Linked DNA regions of Danio rerio. The protein of the gene in region 1 binds, or shares a complex with, the protein of each later gene. Links are inferred from orthologs where the notes say so. Each region holds a gene or a part of one and is shown in the gene's direction. Other genes may lie near its edges.

The links.
Region 2: the proteins of syk (region 1) and tyrobp are in contact, whole or in part, in a crystal structure (PDB 7Q5W), measured with the Homo sapiens proteins. The link is inferred for Danio rerio from reciprocal best matches to the Homo sapiens genes SYK and TYROBP. Residues at the interface, in NP_001167638.1 of Homo sapiens: Arg22, Arg42, Asn46, His62, His63, Tyr64, Thr65, Ile76, Ala77, Gly78, Gly79, His92, Asp97, Gly98, Leu99, Arg175, Arg195, Arg197, Lys212, Leu214, His215, Tyr216, Arg217, Ile228, Pro229, Glu230, Gly231, Lys232, His243, Lys247; in NP_003323.1 of Homo sapiens: Pro90, Tyr91, Gln92, Glu93, Leu94, Gln95, Arg98, Ser99, Asp100, Val101, Tyr102, Ser103, Asp104, Leu105, Asn106.

What each region holds. Positions count from the first base shown.
Region 1 is NC_133185.1:6,050,822-6,062,383, reverse strand, and holds the start of syk (tyrosine-protein kinase SYK), read left to right. Parts: upstream 1-5,958; 5' UTR 5,959-6,193; intron 6,194-11,562. UniProt on the Homo sapiens protein: Non-receptor tyrosine kinase which mediates signal transduction downstream of a variety of transmembrane receptors including classical immunoreceptors like the B-cell receptor (BCR).
Region 2 is NC_133191.1:26,487,535-26,499,128, forward strand, and holds tyrobp (TYRO protein tyrosine kinase-binding protein precursor), read left to right. Parts: upstream 1-4,342; 5' UTR 4,343-4,409; coding exon 4,410-4,455; intron 4,456-6,860; coding exon of another isoform or gene 6,861-6,863; coding exon 6,864-6,884; intron 6,885-6,996; coding exon 6,997-7,155; intron 7,156-7,246; coding exon 7,247-7,311; intron 7,312-8,090; coding exon 8,091-8,147; 3' UTR 8,148-8,528; downstream 8,529-11,594. UniProt on the Homo sapiens protein: Adapter protein which non-covalently associates with activating receptors found on the surface of a variety of immune cells to mediate signaling and cell activation following ligand binding by the receptors.

The sequences.
Region 1 (11,562 bases):
AAAATAAATCAGTTATTAGAGATAGATTATTAAAACTATTATGTTTAGAAATGTGTTTCTAAAATTTCTCCGTTAAATTCTAAAATAAATGGGTGGGGGGGCTAATATTTCAGGGGGGTTAATAATTCTGCCTTCAACTATATGTGCCAGCATAGTGACAGATTTTAAAACAAGACTAACATCCTATGCTAATGAGTTAGAGACCATGACTTATGGGCGGGGCTTTCCACCTCTGACAAGTACAATGGAAGATTGTCAATCAAAGTGTTCCTGCAGACTGTTTTTATGAAGTGTGATTATAAAAAATAAAATGGATAATTTTTATCCATATAAGCTGGTTCTATTGACAGACTTTGCCACACATTTGTGTATAAACCCTTTATAAAAGTATTTTTTTTTTTCTTTAAAACACTATGGAAATTATTTAATACAATGCTTTTAAATGAAAAACAAAAGCTGCTGTACAATGTCACACATTTTCATTTGTGTATTACAGTAAACGATTTACAGACACAATTCAGAGATTTCTGTTCTGTACATGTGGGCTTGATGAGATCAGCTTTGATCAGTTTCGGAAAATAAACGGCTTCTAACCACAACATCTATTGCTATAATAGATGTGGTTGCTATGAACGTGTTTCAGATAATCTGAGGTATTGTGCTGCCCCCTGCTGTGAACATAAAAAATATTTTATACTTCAAAACTGACAGCAATATACAGTTGTAGTATTATTAGCTCCCCTGTTTATTTTTACCCCAATTTCTGTTTAACGGGGAGATTTTGTTTAACACATTTCTAATCATAATAGTTTTATTAACTCATTTCTAATAGCTGATTTATTTTATTTTTGCCATGATGACAGTACATAATATTTTACTAGATATTTTTCAAGACACTTCTATACAGCTTAAAGTGACATTTTAAAGGCGTTAACTAGGTTAATTAGATTAGATTAGATTCAACTTTATTGTCATTACACATGTACAAGTACAAAGCAACGAAATGCAGGTTAGGTCTAACCAGCAGTGCAATAGCAGAAAGTGCAGGATACAGGTAAGTTATAAAGTGCATGAAAAACGATGGTGATATTTACAGATGGATGTACTATCAATATTATATACAGGTTGTACTATGAACAGAGATTTACAATGAATATGTATGTATTGCTATGTGCAGAATGTACAGGTTGCTATTAATAATCAGAAGTGTGCAGATAAATAAACATGATTACAAATGTATATGTGCAGTGGGTGTGTATATAATTACAAATGTCCATGTGCAGTGGGTATGTACAGTTCAAATAAGTAAATCAGTGCAATGTGGTGCAATGTGCATTGTGCAATGTGCAAATTTTAAATGTGCAAATGTTAAACAGTGCAGTGATTGTGAGGAGTTTAAGTTAGAGGAGAGTGGGGGGTGTATTAAAATATTAAAATATTATAATAAATATAAAAAAAATTAATTAGGGTAACTAGGCAGGTTAGGGTAATTAGGCAAGTTATTGTATAATGATGGTTTGTTCTGTAGACTATCGAAAACATTATAGCTTGAAGGAGCTAATAATATTGACCTTAAAACTGCTTTTATTCTAGACGAAATAAAACAAATAAAACTTTCTCCAGTAGAAAAAATATTATCAGACATACTGTGAAACTTTCCTTGCTCTGTTAAAAAAAAAAAGTAAATTAAAATGTGGGCTAATAATTCTGACTTCAACTATATTTAGGTTGGGGTCAATAGGATTTTAAATGTTTTAAAATAAGATTATCCTGCTCAAGGTTGCATTTATCTGCAATTATATTGCACTATAAATTAACTGTTCAAACGTAGTTTATAATTTAATTTAAACATTTATTCCAGTGATTTTAAAAATTAATTTTCAGCTTCACTACTCCAGTCTTCAGTCACATGATCCTTCAGAAAAAAACTTTAATAATGGTGAGAATAATAAAAGCAATAATGACTGTGGTAATAATTTTAATTTGAAACTACATAAAATAAGAAAGCAGTTAATTAAAATTTTAATAAATATAAAAAAAAAATTACATTTAATAAATGCCGCTGTGGTAAACAAAATAATTTACTTTAAAAAAAGAAAAGAAAACTGACCCAAAATTATACCTACTTTTATTTAAAAAAAAAATAATAATAAATTTAAAATATAGAATAATCTCCAAATACAATGTTAAAAATACAAACATTTTGTTAATATTTCATAAAATATTTCAATAAAGAGGAAAAAAGTCCAGTATTTTGCATTAAACCTTTTCCTTTTATACATTTATTATATGTTACATAACAATAATAATTACAATGTCTATAATTAGTTATTACCAAGTTTCCGGCTATGTGTGGCCTGCTTAACTTGTGACAAAAACTGAAGCACTGCATAAAAATCATATTTGCTATCTGAAATTCATGTTTGCTGTCATTAAATTTTCATATTTTTTTATTAATTCATTCAGTTGTTCATTCTTTCATTTATTTATTTGGTTTGTCATAAATGCTGTAATACAATTGAGGCAAACTAAATTTCCTTTGTTGTGAAATAATAAACATTGCAATACTGCTTACATCTTATACCTGACACTATTTCACTGTTAAAAACTGAGCATTGCTAGATAAACTGAGACTCCACCCTCTTTGATTTGATTGGCCAGTCATTTTGAAGCCCATGAGTGCTGATATGCTGAACAGTTGAGGCAGACCGAATTCTCAATGTTGTCAGATATTAAATATGTAACATACTTGGTCTACAAATGACTCTCTTTCACTGTTAAACACTAAAATGTCATGCTGAAATTACTTATTGAGTAATCAAGTTACTTTTCAGTCAAAAAGTAATTAGAAAATTCATTTAAATACAATTTTAATTATCATTAAATATATTTTTAAATATATATTAAATATATAATTAAATATATATTATAAATATATATTAAATATATTTTATCAGTAAAGATATTTTTTAAAGTAACTTACCCATCACTTAATCCTATAATACCCATAATAGTTTACCCCAAAATGAAAATTCTGTCAACTCTACTTGTTCCAAACCTGACTGAGTTTCTTTTTTCTGTTGAACACAAAAGAAGATATTTTGAAGAATGTTGGAGACTCACTTCAGTAACGGTATTCACTAACAGCCAATGGTTACCGGTTTCCACCATTCTTCAAAATATCTTCTATTGTGTTCAACAGAAGAAAGAAGCTCAGATTTGCAACCCCTTGAGGGTGAGAAAATAGTGAGCACATGTTCATTCTTGAGTGAACCGTCTCTTTAACCTGCAATCCACCATTCAGAGTGGAAATGTCACTGGGTTGTGAAATCCTCTGATGATTGCTCTTGCAGGTGTGCCGCGGTTCTCTCTGTTTATGAAACATGCCTCAGTGTAAACAGAAGATATACTACTCCATCACGCAGACAGATGCACTGAAGACTCATTACAGAAGTACAGTAAACTGTGTCCATCACAGCTCAATGAACCGCATCACACATCTGTTTTTCCTGATCACACACTTTCCACTAGTGAACATACAGTTTGGTTCATGGAGTATCTTTAAGTGTTTACTATTTTTGAATGCTTTGACAGTATGGGGCTGCATGATATTGGATCAATTCAACATTGATATTTTGATTTAGTAATAGTACTTGCACTTAAGTATGATCTTTCAGTACTCTTTTCACCACTGGGCAGGAGTGATTGATGCAATGACTTTTGGGATTTGTAGTTCGGCAGGAATGTAGGAAGTGAACTCCAGCAGAGAAAACACTGCTGGCAATCACAACAATAAATAATTCATTTTCTTTTTGGCTTAGTCCCTTTATTAATCTGGGGTCGCCACAGCAGAATGAACCGCCAACTTATCCAGGATAGGTTTTATGGAGCGGATGCCTACCCATCCCTGGGTGAACAATAGTAATACTAATAATAATGTTTATTGTATATAATGTTAACAGTAATGTTTATTTTATAAAGCGCCTTTCTGGTGCTGAAGACATACAATATTTACAATAACAATAATAATAAAGAAAATCAATAAAAATAGTAGAATAATAACAATAATAATAAAGATCAAAATATAAATAATAAATAAATAAAATCAATAAAAATGATGTTCAGTTGAGGTCCGAATTATTCGCCCCCCCTGTTTATTTTTCCCCCAATTTCTGTTTAATGGACAGAAGTTTTTTTTCAACACATTTCTACACTTAACTCAATTCTAATAACTGATTTATTTTATCTTTGCCATGATGACAGTAAATAATATTTAACTAGATATTTTTCAAGACACTTTTATAAAGCTTAAAGTGACATTTTAAATGCTTAGCTAGGTTAATAAGGTTAAGGTTAGGGTAATTAAACAAGTTATTGCATAATGATGGTTTGTTCTGTAGACTATCGGAAAAAAAAATAGCTTAAAGGGGCTAATAATTTTGACCTTAAAATGTTTTTTAAAAATTAAAAACTGCTTTCATTCTAGCCTAAATAAAAAAATAGGACTTTCTCAAGAAGAAACAATATTATCAGACATACTGTGAAAATGTCCTTGCTCTTTTAAACATCATTTGGGAAACATTTAAACTATAAAAATTTGGGAAATATTTTAAAGAAAAAAAATTCAAAGGGGGGATAACAATTCTGACTTCAACTATGCTTTAAGGAGAGATTTGATTTCAGAAAAATCGTACATATTGAATAAACTTTTTTAAAATATGTGCCAAATGTACATCTTGGCACAAAAGTGATGTGAAGGAATGAGCAAAAAGTTAAATATTCACTACACAATTCCACAATTCCTTCATGTCATCCTAACACAAATCGATTTAGTTAACGTAATTATTTTTACAAATTCAAGTGGATTGAACATGAAACACTTAAGTTGTTACAAAAAGTCTAGAATTGTGTTGATACAGCTCATTTAGTAGTTTGAACAAGCAAAATCATTTTCAAGTATTCAGTATTATTTTAATCAAACAATCTAAAAAAACAAACAAACAAGTTTTGGGTGAAATATCACAGTAAAACTCAACACAAATCATTCATGTTCTCCCAACACAAAAGCGATAATATTTTTTTTTTTTAAGTGGATTGAACATAAATCAACAAGCAGCTCATTTTTTTTTAATGTTGACAAACTCAACTGTTGGGTTAAATTGTTTGTCCATATTCCACCTATAATTTAGTTAAAGCAACCCAGCACTTTCTGTTAAAAGCAATTCATTGATTTTACCTAAATATGTGAGTAAATCCTTTTGTAACGTGGAACTCTCAAGTTGACCTTACTTTTTCACTCATGCACGCCGTAAATTTACTTAATAATTCTAAGACAAATCAATTGTACTCACTGGTAACAATTTATAATAAGGTTCATTAGTTAATGCACTTACTAACATGAACTAATCATGAACAACACATGTACAGCATTTATTAATCATAACTGAACATTTACTAATGCATTATTAACATCCAACTCCCTGCTTGTTAACATTAGTTAATGCACCATGAGTTAACATGAACTAACAATGAACTACTGTATTTTCATTAATTAACGCTAACTAATAATAACAAATACAGTAGTAAATGTATTGTTCATTGTTTGTTCATGTTAGTAAATGCATTAATTAACATTAACTAATGAACCTTATTGTAAAGTGTGACCTACCCACTTTTCTTAAAGTAAAGTCAACTACTAATTGATAGTCATTGCAAGTAATCACTTTTTAAAGAGTGTACATACTATGATGATTGATTAATTTAATTAATAATATAAGAAAATGTACAGTACATTAGGCCTCACTGACTGCATGACTATTCATGTATTGCATATTATATATTTATGTTCTGAGATAGAAGAGGAAGTTAAAGATAGGACAAAAAAATGGTGAAGGAAGTAGGCAAGTTTCTTAAAATGAGGAAGTCTGCAAATAGCCGCTCTTACTGAAGTACTAAAGAAAAGGTTTGTGTCAGTACAAAAAAGGCAAGAGAAAAGGCGAAAAATCTTGCGCTTCTGGCATCAGTGTGTGCTTACAGTTTCAGCGTTCAGTCTGCGAGCGAGAACTCCTGAACTGGCAGCTTCTTTTGAACTATCCACTGAGTTTAAAGAGGCTCCACATCCTGTTCAGTTACAGACAGTTGAACATGGTATACAGCCACTGGCCAAACTGAGGGCACTTAAACAGTTAATACGGTAAGAATGGGTCTGGTTCTCTATGAATGATTTGTTTTATGAATGTTGTGCTGGAGTATGATGTTAAATTGAATATATTTCTAAAGCAAATTATGAGGCCTAAATGACTGAAAAAGCTCATAATAATAATAATAATATCAATCTTATTGGCTGAAACTGTGGACACTTCATATAGTCATAATGTGTCTGATCCTATATGAATGATTTGTTTTATAAATGTGTAATGTTCTGCTGGTGTATGATGTTAAACTGAACTAATTTCTAAAGCAAATTAGGAACCTGAATGACTGAAAAAGCTAAAAAAAAAAAATAATGATATTGGCTGAAACTGAGGACACTTAAACACTTCATGTGGAATGAATGTGTCTGGTTCTTTAAGAAATGTGTGTTTTATGAATGTGTAATGTGTGTGTGTAAAATCTTGTTCTGGAGTATGGCTATAACTGAACAAATTTCTAAAGCAAATTATGAGGCCTGTATGACTCAAAAAGCTAATAATAATAATAATAATAATAATAATAATAATAATAATAATAATATTAATAATGTTAATGGCTGAAACTGAGGACACTTAAACACTTTACAGTAAGAATCTGATTCTTTACAAAAAAGAATGTTTTATGAATGTATATTGTTGTGCTAAAATATGATGTTAAGCTAAACTAAATGATCACAAAATATATAAGAAATTATGTTGTTGGCCAAAATTGAGGATATTTAAACACAAAATACAGTGAGAATCTGTCTGATTTTCTATGAAATATGTGTTTTATGAATGTGTAATGTGTGTATAATGTTGTGCTGCAGTATGAGGTTAAACTGAACTAATTTCTAAAGCAAATTATGAGGCCTAAATGACTCAAAATGCTAATATAAATAATAATAATAATATGATAATAAAGTTTTTGGCTGAAACTGAGGACACCTAAACACTTTATACAGTATACAGTTTTATACAGTCTTATTCCCTTCAAAAAGGATGTTTTATGAATATATAATGTGTGTATAATGTTGTGCTAAAGTATGATGTTAAGCTGAACTAATTTGTAAAGCAAATTATTAATTTAAATGTCAAAATAATAAAAATAATAATGTTGTTGGTCAAAATTGAGGATATTTAAACACAAAATACAGTGAGAATCTGTCTGATTTTCTATGAAATATGTCTTTTATGAATGTGAAATGTGTGTATAATGTTGTGCTGCAGTATGAGGTTAAACTGAACAAATTTCTAAAGCAAATTATGAAGCCTAAATGACTTAAAAAGTAAACAAAGAAAATAATAATAATATAAATAATAATAATGTTAGTGGTCGAAACTTAGGACATTTAAACACTTTATACTGTAAGAATCTGTCTGATTCTCTACAAAAAGTGTTTTATGAATGTATAATGTTGTGCTAAAGTATGATGTTAAGCTGAACTAATTTTCTAAAGCAAATTATGAACTTGAATGACTGAAAAAGATTTTTAAAATAATGTTATTGGCCAAAACTGAGGACATTTAAACACTTTATACAGGAAGAATCTGTCTGATTGTATATAAAAATGTAGTTTTATTAATGTAAAATGTGTATTATGTGCTAAACTAAGCTGAACTAATTTCTATAGCAAATTATGAAACTAAATGAAAAATATTTAAAAAAAAATAATGTCATTGGCCAAAACTAAGACATTTAAACACATGAATCTGCCTGATTTTCTATGAAATGTGTGCTTTATGAATGTGTAATGTGTGTATAATGTTGTGCTGGAGTATGACCTTAACTGAACAATTTTTAAGCCCTAAATGACTGAAAAAGCTGAAGAAAATTATTATATTATTGCATTTCACATGATTGGCTCTTGAAATATTTCATGAGCATGGTTTGATTATTCCATTTGAAATGATCCTCACGTCAATTGTGGTTATTATTATTATTAGAATACTTACCATTTTGATGTGGCAGTAAGCAAATAATAGATAAAAGTTGCGACGTGTTTTAAATGATCAGTATAATAAGAGCACTTTGTTGTGGCATCGATCTGTCATTACTTCTGTAGCTTTGAGGGTAGTGGAAAAAGAAAGCTGTAGAAATATTTCAGATGTTTCTCTGTTGTCGCTGTTTCGCAACTCTTTTAAAGAAGAAAGCCATATTAGTTTTAAAGTCACATGTCATTTGAATAATTCACAAGCAATTTATAAATGATTAAATATCTGAGTCAGAATTTTTGACTGTGTAGTTTAATCTTTACGTTTTGTAAGAATTTAAAAGTTTTTATTTGAAACTTACCGAAAATGTACTCCTATTGTTATCAATTTAATTTAAAGTATAATTTAAAATAACTAAATTATATAATTTATACTAAACACATTGGTCACACTTTATAATAACTACACACTATAAATCATTTATTAGCAAATAGTGAATTCATTATCCGTTAAGCATTAACTCTACATTAATAAACGTTAGTAAGCAGTTTATAACTGCAGCTACAAATGCTCTATTCTTGACTTATAACCATATAAAATGTGCTTAATAATTGTATTTTCATACTTAGTAAATGATTAATTTTTCATTACTAAATTAAGTATCGCATTATTTACAAACCAGTTGTATTTAAGAGTAGTTAAGAGTTTTTAGGATCATTCAGAATGAGTTAGTAAATGATTAATAAACTATTAATTTTAATGTTTATGTGTCTTATTATTCAGGCATATATTAATGGTTACTATGTATATTAATAAATGCTTTATTAACTCAACTTCACCTAGTTTTGTGACATAATCTAAAGTGAGGACTATTCATGCTTTATATATCCCTTATAAATGACAAACAAAGGCTCAGTTAAATTCTAAACAGGAAAAACGACATTATTCATTCCTATTCAATTAAAGATACACAAATGAAACTGTACTTCAAATAAAAAATAAATCTTTGCAACCTGATCTAAAATAAAATCACTGTTGAGTTTAAACATTACATTTTATTACATTGTTTAATTTTTATATTGTTGTTTTATCCAGTTTTGTTGTATTTTGACACTCCTGTTATTCAGCAATGTTTAAACTTTACAGTAATTTTACATTTTAGAAAAGTTTGCACAGATTATCGTTCATTTGATTTTGAGCCTTTATTTGTCAGTTATAAGGCATTTATAAAGCATAAACAGTCCTCACTTTAGATTAGGTCACAAAACTGCATGAAGGTGAGTTAATAAAGCATTTATTAACCTATTAGTTGACTATTAGTATATGCCTGAATAATAAGACATAAATGTTGATTTCAATAGTTTATTAATCATTTACTAACTCATTCTGAATGATCCTAAAAACCCTCAACTACTCTTAAATACAACTGGTTTGTAAATAATGCGATACTTAATTTATTAATGAAAAATTAATCATTTACTAAGTATGAAAATACAATTATTAAGCACATTTTAAATGTGGTTATAAGTCAAGAATAGAGCATTTGTAGCTGCAGTTATAAACTGCTTACTAACGTTTATTAATGTAGAGTTAATGCTTAATGAATAATGAATTCACTATTTGCTAATGCTTAATAAATGATTTATAGTGTGTAGATATTATAAAGTGTTACCGTTTGTTATTAAACTGAACTTGGCTAACATGAACTAACAAGAAAACAATGATTAAAGATTTCCAAATATTGTGTCGCTCTGTGTTGGTCAATGCTAATTAATTAATGTTAAAGTGCCTCATAGCGAAAATTCTTCTAAATCAATTTGTTTTAAATTATGATGTAATCATTTGAATTAAAACTACACTGTGAAAATATGTATATACTCAATAAGTCATGACAACATGTTTTTAGTTAATTGTAACTTATTAAACTACGTTAATCGTGTTCTAACTTGATTTTCTAAGTCTGTTTAATATAATTTAAGTTCAAATGACAAATGAAAAAAAATGAAGGCAATCAGTATTGTTTACGGTGTATGAATGAAATTTTGTCTATGGACAACGTTTGTCTTAACCATTTCAACATTATTTCGTTTTTTTTAAATGAAATTATTTCAATATTCATTTCAATTTCAGTTTTATTTATATGACATGATTTAAAACACACACAAAAAACAATAAATAAATAAATATATAATAACAGATGCAAAAACCTTTAAATGTATTGTTCACGTTAGTACATTAACTAAAACTGAAGAGAAAGTTCACAGAAAAATTTTATTTACTTAATGTTTACACCATTAAGTGTTTTCAATTACTGTAGTTTTATGGGTTTTTTTTTTGTCAAAAACGAAAGAAGATATTTTGAAGAATGTTGCAATCTGGTAACCATTGACTTCTATAGTATTTATTTTTCACACTATGGAAGTCAATGGTTTCCGGTTTTCAACATTTTTCTAAATGTAAATCTTCTTTTGTGTTAGACAGAAAAAAAAATGTTTTTTTTTATTATTTCGTTTTTATATATTATATTATGAATATTCGTTTCAGTTTTATTTATATGACACATTTAAAAAACAATAAATAAATGTATGAAGAGAACAGATGCAAAAACCTCTAAATGATAAATATATATATATATTATGAAATTAGCATTAGTTTCCTATGTTTATATGCTGTTATTTCATTTAAAATGCAATGAAAATAACCTATTCAAACACTTAAAATTAAGAATCAAAGGTTAAATTTTAGAAGAAATGTTCAATATTGTCTATAAAAGTTCTTATGTGTCCATATTGACTAGCATATTTTCATTTGATAACTAAATCTAAATAATAGCACTCAATAAAATGGTATTATTTTGCCTCAGTGAAGCACATCTTACAATATCTCAGCAGAAAATCCCCAAATCACGTACTGTAATATACAGTAAACCTACACATCTGACCAGTTGCGCTCATTCATTTTAATTAGGCGTTCTGCTGCTTTGTTGCTTTTAGCGATTTCTGCTGCTTTGCTCACAAGTCTGTGACCACAGTTTCCATAACAAACATCAGTCGTGTTACAATAACACTGACCTGCTCTTTCTCAGCCAATCTGCTTTCTTCTTCATGGAATCTTTCTGCGGTTGAATTCATCGCGTTTGCTCAAACTCTCTTCTCTTTCATGCAGACGCTCGAAGCCCTGAGGTCTAGCATTAGCGTCTGAGTTTGAGGTGGCTTTTTGGCCAGCAAAAAAGGGCCAGAGGATGTTGTCTGGTCGCTCAAGTCACATTATAAGCGCTCATTATTGGAGACAAGGAAGCAGAATGTAAAGCAGCTGCATTTCAGTCATTTATTTCTGTCAGGACATTTGATCAAACTGTAATCAGTCTTTAGTTATTAGACAACACTGAATTACATTTTTTAAGGTAGGTGGTTGCAAACAATTAATTTGGGCTGAATTTAAACAAACATATTAAGTT
Region 2 (11,594 bases), on another chromosome or scaffold:
CAATGAACCATTGTGTGTTCTTATGCTTATGGTTCACACTTTTCAAAGCTGAACCTGACTCAACATCCTTATTTGGTATATTCATGGTGTCAGTGTTTGCATAAAGGCTCAACGCTGCAGATCCTCATTTGATATATTACAGACTATATTAGGCTGCTTTCCTGAATGGACATTTTGGCTAAAAAAAAAAGGCTCTGATTGATGCTTTTTATAATTGACATTTTCCAGCTCCAACGCTGCAAGGATTGATGATTGAAAAAAATTGATGATTGTTTGTTGATTGCTATGCATCTCATAACATTGTCATAATCAGTGTTGGGGGGATACATTACAACTAAAGCGAGTTACGTGCAGTTGTAATCAGAATTATTAGCCCTCTTGAATTATTAGCCCGCCTGTTTATTTTTTCTCTGATTTCTGTTGAACGGAGAGATTTTTTTCAACACATTTCTAAACATAATAGATTTAATAAATAATTTCTAATAACTGATTTATTTTATCTTTGCCATGATGACAGTAAATAATATCTAGATGTTTTTCAAGACACTTCTATACAGCTTTAAGTGACATTTAAAGGCTAAACGAGGTTAATTAGGGTAACTAGGCAGGTTAGGATAATTTGGCAAGTTATTGTATAACGATGGTTTGATCTGTAGACTATGAAAAAAATATAGCTTAAAGGGGCTAATAATTTTGACCTTAAAATGTTTTTTTTTTTTAATGAAAACTGCTTTTATTCTAGCCGAAATAAAACAAATAAGACTTTCTCCAGAAGAGAAAATTATCAGACATACTGTGAAAATTTCCTTGCCCTGTTAAACGTAATTTGGAAAACATTTAAAAAAAGAAAAGGAAATTCAAAGGGGGTTTTATAAATTTGATTTTAACTGTACTCTCTCAGAAATAAACGTATGCACGCTGTCACTGGGATGGTCCATTTTTAAAAGGTACAAATACTTTTGTATTTCATTATTGGTACCTCTAACGTATATATTATTAGCACCTAAAAATTTTATGAGGACACTGTTGTACTTTTTAGGTACCAATATGTACCCTTGAGGTATTAATATGGACCTTTTAGGTACAAATTTGTATCTTTTGAAAAGGTACCACCCCAGTGAAAGCTTGCTTACCTTTATTTCTGAGAGTTTAATAACGTTACTTCTCTAAAGAACGAATAAAGTAATGCATCCCTTTATTAAAATTTGTAATAATATTTGAGTTACTTTTTTGAAAATGTAATGCGAGTTACTTTTTAACTTAATTAGCTTTTTAAAAATAAACTGCTGAATTATATGAAAGTAGTCACAATGAATTACGCAGTCAATGAGAAAATGTTCATTATTTTGATCGCATTGAAGAAAAGGTAAAAGGGATTGCCTCAATGGGCAGTAATTTTACTTAAGACAAATAGTACAAAAGTAGCAAACACATTGTTTTTCACTTTCAATAATCTGTATGATGGCGCAGTAGGAAGTGTTGTCGCCTCACAGCAAGAAGGTCGCTGGTTCGAGCCTTGGCTGGGTCAGTTGATATTTCTGTGTGGAGTTTGCATGTTCTCCCTGTGTTTACGTAGGTTTCCTCCGGGTGCTCCGGTTTCCCCCACAGTCCAAAGACATGTGGTATAGGTTAATTGGGTAGGCTAAATTGTCCGTAGTGTATGAGTGTGTATGGATGTTTCCCAGAGATGGGTTGCAGCTGGAAGAGCATCCGCTGCATAAAACATGTGCTGGGTAAGTTGGTGGTTCATTCCGCTGTGGTGACCCTGGATTAATAAAGGGACTTAGCCGAAAATAATATGAATGAATAATCTGTATATACGGCATGTAGAGCTCTGGGCTCAGGAAGTTCTCAGTTAATATTATCCTAAAAACTTTTTTTTTGGTGTTTTTTTAAAGGTAAATGTAGGTGTAGGTTATACAGTGCGCTGTTAATTGCAGAGCTCATATTAAAAAAGAAAGAGTGAAAAAAACAAGTTCTGTAAGAGATCATGCCTCAGCCAAGTAATCAAAAGTAATGCAAAAGTAACATATTATTCACCATAAAAAAGTAACTAAGTAACGCAACTAGTAACTTTTTTGTAGAGTAACTCAATATTGCAATGCAATACTTTCTAAACTTTCTCCAACACTGCTCATAATACTGGATTGTTTCTGTAAACATTTCATTGCTGCGTTTCATTTTTTACTTGAATCAAATAAAGTTTTCTAGTCATCTCTTCTTACCTTAATTCGGCTGATGAAAAATATTTTGACAAATAAAATTTTTAAAGTTGTAACCTGATTAACTTAATTATCTAACTTGATTAAAATAAGTTCAAGCTACATAAAAAGAAGTATTTGTCTTGACTTTTTGTCATAACGTTTTTACAGTTTAACTGCAGGAATATGCAAAGTCTGAAACCCTTCTGTGAATTGCTAATCCAAATCAAAGATTTAAAATAAAAATAAAAATTTATGATCGTATATGTTTGCAGGCTATTTTTATGTGTACTGTTATAAATATGAAAAGGATCTAATGACTGTTCTCTGGAATCTCCCAGAAATTCCCACGTCCAAAACAACCACAAGACTGTGACTCTTTCTCTGAAAAATGAGGAAGTCTAAAGAAAAGAATCTTTACAATTCACTCTTTTGTATATTTCCCCCCTAATTTATTTATGACCATTCTGTTATACCCACAAAAACGATTACTCTTTTAAATACTTATTTTAAGAGTTCCCACTTAGATATGCTTGGCATTTATAACAGGTTTGGCATGCTGTCACGGAGATATTTGAGCCCAGGGCTCCCGCCCGGTCTAGAAGCATATCAGGAGAACCGAGATCAGGTAGGTCTCGATCGCTCCCCCTTTAGAAGGGGAGAAAAAGGAGGAGATGGAGTGGAAGGGGGGATTCTTCCAAAAAGAAAATAGAGCAATAAGGAGAAAGTGATCCATTTATATTAAGCTCGGATCATTCTGATTGGATTATTACTGATTACGGATGAGTGGCCAGCAGTGCACAATCATATCACGTGCTCTTCTCGAAATTAGTTTGTGAAACTTCACTTATTGGTAATATTTTTGGACTTAATTAACTTTCATTCATTCAATTTTCTTCCGCTTAGTACCTTTATTTATCAGAGGTCGCCACAGCAGAATGAACCGCCAACTAATCCAGTATATGTTTTAAGGAGCGGATGCCCTTTTAGCCGCAACCCAGTACAGGGAAACAACCATACACTTTCACATTCACACACACACACACACACACACTCTCATACACTATGGCCAATGTAGCTTCTTCAATTCATTTATGCTGCATGTCTTTGGACTTTTGGGGAAACCCACACAAAAACGAAGAGAACATGCAAACTCCTCACAGAAATGCCGACTGACCCAGCAGGGGCTTGAGCCAGCAACCTTCTTGCTGTGGGGTGACAGTGCTAGCCACCGTGTTGCCTACTTAAGTATGCCTAAAAATGAGGATTTAGCCTTTCTGCAAAGACAACAAAACATTGTCAAAACATTGTATCACCTGTTCACTGACATACTCTTAAAATCTGATCATTAAAGACATATCATCAGTTCTTTTTATTTTGGATTTTGAGACTCGTGACCTCAAGTGGGCCCGGATAAGCGAAAGAACATGACTTTCTGAGACTGATGCGTTTGACTACAGATAACAATCTTTAGGAGGTTCACATGCAGTAAGACAAAGGTCAAGAATTTACAAACCAAGCTTCAGAAAGTCAATAATATCCCGAACCTTTGTTTATATGTCTTGTAAACAGGACTTTGCTTTAGTCGTGTCACTTCTGCATCACTTAATCACACAGTAAAAAGATCAACATCCTTTTCAGTCAAATAAGTATTATTAGCAGAATCAGACAATTGTTTTTGCTTTTTTCTACCTATGTGTGGTTATCAGATACTGGCTTTAGCAGTCACATCCTGTGCTGTGAGCCTTTTAACCACATTAACACCCAGGTCCCACTTAGTCTTTATACATTTCCCGCACATTGCCAAGTGAAAGTACATCAAGAAGGACATTCGAAAATGCAACTGTGACATTAAAAAAAAACCTCAGTTTTATCTTTGAATGTCTTATAATTAAAGCCTAAAAACATTCTAACTCTGACTGGATAAAATACAAACTATTTAAAGGAAAAACTAAAGTGTGTGCGTCCGTATGTGTGTGATAGCAAATACAAGCACATGTAGCTCCTCCTCAGAAACCTTTGCTTCTATTTTGATGGATGGCGATAAGTCATCAGCTCACACTTGGTGATTTTTCACACAGAGACAATTTCCATATCATTGGTTGTGATATTCAAGGTGTTTCAGCTCGTGGCCAGAAAGGCTTCTTGTATTCGAGTCAGGGCTGTGTAAACCCTGAGCAATCTTTCCTAAACCTGTCTGCACTCATTATGAGAAGGATACTGTTTATAATGTTCCCCGTCAACGGACTGTTTGGTGAGTCCATTTTGAGAATTTTTATAAACTGTACGGGTTTAGGTTTTTAAACAGTTAAAAACTGGCTTTTGGCATCATTTTCTCTCAAAAAACAAACTAGATGTTGATTTAATAGTTGTTTAGAACATAAAACCAGACTTTTTGTTGAGTATAGACTGCAAAATTGTAGGGTTTTAATTTTAAATTTGCTTTTTTATATCTATATAAAGCTTTTATACAAACAAATAATAATGTTATAAAAAAAACATTTTAAAGAATTAATACGATGGTTTACACAAACACGAAATCTCTGTCATTTACACATCCTTTTTGAGTATCTTTTTTTCAGTTGAATACAAAATAAGATATTTTGAAAGATGTTGGAAACCGGTGATTATTGACTTTCATGGTATATGTTGTTCCTGCTATGGATGTCAACAGTTATCCGTTTCTAACACTCTTTAAAAGAATCTGTTCAAGTTCAACTGAGAAAAAAAAACTCATAAAGGTTTGGAAACACTAGGGTAAAATACTGTTTTCTTTTTTTTTTTTAGGTAAGCTATGCCTTTAAGTGTCAACTTATTTCTTCTTTTTGAAATGAGCTTTGCCTTTATTTTTGAAGGCAGCCATATCAAGTTACTGTCTTGCATTTCATGTGCCTTTGTGAACACGATTGTTTGTTAGGTTAAACAAGTTTTGGATGTTAAACTCAAGTTTCTACATTTTCAGAAATGAAATTTTCAGTTCTCTTGACTAAGTGTTGAAACAAACATTACAAGTTGAGTCTTCCACTCACATTTAGTTCAGTAACTCATGTTGAAGGCAGAAGATGAACTTTCGTTTCTGGATTTAACCACATAAAACATTTTACCATTTTGTAGAAAAAACAAAATATGACTGAACTATATTGAGTATATTTTGCACACTTTCACAAAATTAGGTTTATATATAGAGATTATTGCAAAAAACTGCACATAATGTATATATGTGTGTGTTTGTCTGTTTATCTATTGACAGATCGAGATTTTACAACTAAATATTCTAGTCTAATATTTAAATATTATATTTTGTTGTGAAATTTTTGCAGAGTGTACATTTTTCCAACACCTCATTTCAATCTAATGTATTATTTTTCTTATTCTAAAGAATCTTATTCTTATATGACCACACTCTCATGTTAACACTTTAGAATAACTAGTTGTTATAACTAGTTAATAGTCCATTAATAAATTGTTAGTTAATAAGTTATAAATGACTTGTTAAATAAAAGTTAATAGTTTGTTATTTTTTTTATAACTGTGCCTTATATATAGTTAATAGATAACTTACAAGCTGTTAGTTAACAAGTTATAAATGACTTGTTAAGTGTAATTTAATGATTTATAACTATACCTAATAAATTAGTAATAGACCATGAACAAGCTGTTTGTAAAGACTTTCTAAGTATCAGTTAAATGTTTATATATGTTATTACATGTAAAGTTGCAACTATTCTTCATTTATTAACTGTTAGTAAATGAGGAATAGTTGCAACTTTAGAATCACGTCCCAATAACATACATAAGCCAATAGCAGGGTGTTTTCACACGTCTAGTTTGGAAAAGGTCTGGAAAGTGGGTGTGTCTAGCTCTGTTTGGGTGGGCGTGTCGGGGGAGGTAAAATGGGAAGGATTTGACTGAAAATGGGAGTTCCCATTTGGGCACGCGCTGATTTTCACACGCAGATGCAGGGGAGATCTATTACTAATTTATTAGGTATAGTTATTTTTAACTTGTTATTTATAGTCATTTATAACTTGTTAACTAACAGCTGGTAAGTTATCTGTTTCTATCTATAAGGCACAGTTATAAATAATTAACAAACTATTAACTTTTATTTAACAAGTCATTTATAACTCATTAACTAACAGCTTTTAATAATCTATTATAACAGATTCTAAAGTGTTACCAGTTAATGAATATTGAAATGTTTACTAATACTGTTTTGTAAAAAAAACATCTTAAAAAAAAACTTATCTGAATTTTAAATGGATAGTTCTTCCCAAAAACTGAACATTTCCTCACCTTTACTCAAACTCAAATTGTTCTAAGCTAAAAATCATCACATGACTATAGGTACAATCCCTAAACCTATAGGTACAATCCCTTAACCAATCCCTAAACAATCGCCCTGAACCTAACATCATCAGTGCAGTTATCGTGTCACATTCTGTGCAACCACTATTAATAATATTATAAAATAAAACTAATCCTAAAAAACAGCAGTTTCAAAGGTAAAAAATTGCAAATCTATGTTTTATTTGTGGATTTTACGTAGATAAGTTGTTATTACTGCAAGTAATCAAAGAAATTGCATTTTATTTCTGTAGATCAACATCAAAAATCAAACTGTTTTAACATTTTCTCTTTCATTTTCTCTTTGATCAGCAGGCTTTGTAGAGGCAAATCAAGGTAACAACTTTTCCATACATCTTTGATACTCAGTTGATAAATATTTATTTTTTGTTTGTTTGGTAGTTTTTTTTAATGCATATTATATGCTAATGCATTTTCTGCTTTTCAGACTGCAGTTCCTGTTACCAGATGGACATTGGAGTGGCTGTGGGGATCATCACGTGTGATATTATTGTCACGCTCCTCATTGCTCTCTCCGTCTACTGTTTTGTTTCTCGCCAGAAAAAGAGAGGGAGTTTACATGCACACGGCAGATGCTGTAGCTCAGGTAAGCCTGATTGTAGGAAAATATTTAAAAAAAACAGTCACTATGAGTTTCAGAGTTTCAGTCTTAATCATATGTTTTTCTGATGTTTAAGGCAAAGCAAAGCTTCAGCAGACATCTATGAGGGCAAAACCAATTGAAGTAGAATCACCTTACCAGGTAAAATGAGCAAAATATGTACACAAAAAATATGTTTGCTATTTGTTCAAACTACTTATTTAAAATAAGCTAAAGCAACACAATTTATGAGTTTTATAGGGGGAATCTTAATTGTTTTATGCTTAATTTACTTAAATTGGTAAAAACTCATAAGTTAACTTAATTCCGTCATGTCGATTGTGTGGAACCCAACATTGTTTGCAGTGTATTTAATGCAATGCAATATACGTGAGATCAGTTTTGTTGAAGTTCACAAACTAAGGCAAGACATTGCTTACCAAAACTATTTGTCATGGACCAGTGAGTATGGAGATTTTTGACTTTTCTTAAAATGTATTTTTGTTCAGTTTAATGTTAAGAAAACTTCCAAAATACATTTTAAAGTGTTTCTTTTGTCGCACTTTATTAGTGTTTATCCATACATTTTAATTACAATGCATATTTTAAAAGCATTTTATTATTACACACATCAAGTGACACAATTTTACAGAGGTATTTGTTCATTCGTTTATTTAAAAATAAATAAATATAAAAAAAATAAATAACCTATATGATAAAGTGAGAGTGTCTTAATAATATAGCGGAAAGTAGTATGAGGTAAATGTTACTCAAAGTGACAGATGCAGATGTATTTGTGTGAGATGTGTTTAAGTAAATAATCAAGTAATTACACTATTAGTTAATTTTGTTGTACCCTATATTTACCTTGCCTTAAAAAGTCTTAATGTTTTCTTGAAGTGCTTATATGTGTACTCAATTTATTCACAATGTTTTGACAGGAGCTTTATGGAGTGCAGTCAGACATATACAGTGATCTTCAGCAGTATCGGAAATAAACAAGGTCACCTAACATTATCAATGAACGAGTTGTGTTCACACCAATATTTGGAGATTGCATAGGTTCATGACGGTTTCATATTGTGGCATACAAATATGTATTTGATATAAATAAGCTATAATAATTGAATCATGCAAAACAATTTCCATGAATCATCATGATTGGTACATATAAAAATCATCAAAATAAATGTTAATGGTTTGTGGAAAGGAAATGATCTTCAGGAACTTGAAGATTTAATTCCACATTTTATTATAGTTGTAAAAGTTTTTTTTTTTTTTTGTATCTTTATATGTCAGTTTTGTATTTATTCATAGTATATCTTTGTATTGGAAGATTCCCTTGCTCCTTATGGTAAAATAAATGTGTTTGATTTTAATTTGTGGCTTTTAAGTTTTTTCTTGTATGTGTTATGTGCTTGTCAGCATAGTGAGATAACAGAAGGATGAAACCACCTTTTATGTCCGAGGAAGTGGATGCAGTTGCAGTAGCTGACCTGAACTGCAGTCAGCTAGACAAAAGCCAAATACTTTTATTATTATTATAATTCTTTAGGCCAGAATTTCCTGAATTATTAAATTCAACACCTTCATCCTAAAATATATGGTCTGAGTAGAGTCACTGATATATTGTTCTGTATTCTAGGTAAAATAAATGAAACTGAAGAGTTCTTGACACCTCGAGCAGTTTAATTGAGCTCTTAGTTTAAGTGTGACCACTTGCAGCGTCCACAAGAGTGCACTATTATCTCATTGTGCTTTATGTCACATCCACTGTTATTTATTTAGGAATTTACTGTTTTTCTTTCAGCGCTTCTTCCTGTATTGGTGTATCATTGAACTAAAGCAGTTTCAGTGTTTGTTTGTCTTTGCATACAATGAATGTTTATTGTTGGAATACTAAGTATGATAGTGTAAATGCAAATGCTGGACAGACTGTTTACCATACACATAATTAGCCAATTTACACAGAGCCGGAACTGTCATTTCAGTTTTGTGTTGAATTTTTAAATAAATGACTGTCAGTCTACCAACTGCTTTGATTTAAAATATTTAAAGAAATAAAGAAAAAGTAAAGAAAAAGAAATTAACATTCCACTAGGAGCTTGAAATCTCTTAAAGGGATAGATCCCCTAAAACAAAAGATTTTATTTTGAGGGGATCGTTCCCAACAAAATGACAACTTATTTACTCACACTCCAATGTTCCATTCAATTCAATTCAGCTTTATTTGTACAGCGCTTTTACAATATAGATTTTGTCAAAAGGCTTCACATAAATGGTCATAGTAAATTGGAACAGTGTAGTTCAGTTTTTTAGTGTTTAAGTTCAGTTCAGTTTAGATCAGTTCAGTGTGGTTAAAAATCACTACTTAGAGTCCAAACACTGAATCGATGCAGAGCTCTACCGATCCCAAACCATGCAAGCTAGAGGCGACAGCGGAGAGAAAAAAAACTTCACTGATTGGCGAAAGTGAAGAAAAAAAAAAAAAAAAAAGTTAAAACCAGACTTAGTTGGGGGCACGACCATATTAATTTCTCCACTGGCCAAATGTCTTGTGCCAGAGCTGCAGTCTCAGCGGCGGAGGCTGGAAGCTGGCCTCAGCGAAGACTCGTCTGTCCTTGGAGCGTCACTGGAATCAGTCTCATGCTCTCCACTCCTTCATGATCACCGCAGCAGCTGCTCAGGATATGGCCTGGTCCAGGATATGGAAACCTTGGGATCATCTCGCAGCTGGTCTTGGATCTAATCAGTGACTCTGCATAGTCTGAGGTCCTCGGGAAGAGTATCCCCAGGTGGAAATAGAGAATAAAGAGAATAATTAGCATAGCTGCTCTTCATAGTGTATATAAACAAGATGCAGAAACCTGTGTGAAACCCCGTTAAGTGATGCATTGAGTGTATGCTTTACTAAACAGAAAGGTCTTTAATCTAGTTTTGAATTGGGAGAGTGTGTCTGAGCCTCGGACGTTATCAGGAAGTCTATTCCAAAGTTTAGGAGCCATAAATGAGAAGGCTCGACCTCCTTTACTCGACTTTGCTATTCTAGGTCCTACCTGAGTTTAGAGATCTTAAAGAGCGAGTTTGATTGTAGTGAGACAGAAGGTTGGTTAGATAAACAGGAGCTAGATTATTTAAAGATTATTTAATGTTCTAAATGTTTATTTATTTATTTCTACTTTTTAACAAAATAATCAAGATATTCTGAAGAATCTTGGGGAAAAGCAGCCATAGAATTTTAAAGGAACAAAAATACTGTTGAAGTCAATTGCTACTGCTTTCTGACAAATAAGAAAACGGTAACACTTCACAATAACAGTAGATGAATAATGCTGTGTTAATACATAAACTCAACATCACTTTATTATGAACTAATAATGGCTACCTTAATTGCTTGTACAAGCTTGCTTGTTAAATAATGTATTAATTACCATATTAGTGTATATGCCTAATTTAACTATCATGAAATTATAATATGTTAATGTATAATTATGTCATCACGACTTTACTTGGAGGGACAGATCCCCATTTATACATTCTTAACTACACATGAAGACCTTATGTATGCCCGTCTTGTGCATTTACACTGAATAACAACAGAAAAGTGTTCATTCAACATCAACGTTAACAGTTTAAACACAGTAGTTCACGAGTAGCTAATGGTGACGTGCCCCTCCAAGTAAAGTCATGACATAATTATACATTAATTGCTCATGAGTTCATGTTGATTACAATTAGCTTAAATGTAAATGTTAATTAATAAATTGTTAACAACATGTACTAGCAATTAGGGTAACTGTTATTTACCTGTGAATCATGTTGTAGTTAAAGTTAGTTCATGATTAGTGAGCGCCATAACTCATCAGTAATTCAGTAATACAGTAAAATTTAGTTGACATATTAAAACATCATCATTATTATTATAGTGTGTTACCAAGAAAAAAAGAAAGAAAAAGAAAAACTCAAACCGGTTTGGAAAAAGGTGAAGGATGACTAAAAAATGACAGAATTTTATTTTTGAGTCTTTAACTCATTCTCACTCACTCACTCATTCTCAAGCCATTTAAACGGTGGATGGAACTTTTTTTTTAATGTGTATAAACTGGAAGTTGCTGAGAATTTAATTTCAACATGTTGATCTGTTTCCAGTTGGAATTGAATACTAAGTAGGTTGTGTGGATTTTATTTATTTTTTTACCAAAATAAACGTCTACTTATTTATTTATTTATTCATTTATTCATTCATTCATTCATTTTCTTTTCTGTTTAGTGCCTTTATTAATCTGGGGTTGCCACATTTATTTATTTACATTGGATTAACTGGATTAATTAATAGTCCTTGGTGATTCATATAATGGAATTCAACCAAAACCTTGAGTCAAACGGCCTTAAACTGACACAAAGGTTGCGTCTGAAATTGCATACTTCCATACTATATAGTACAC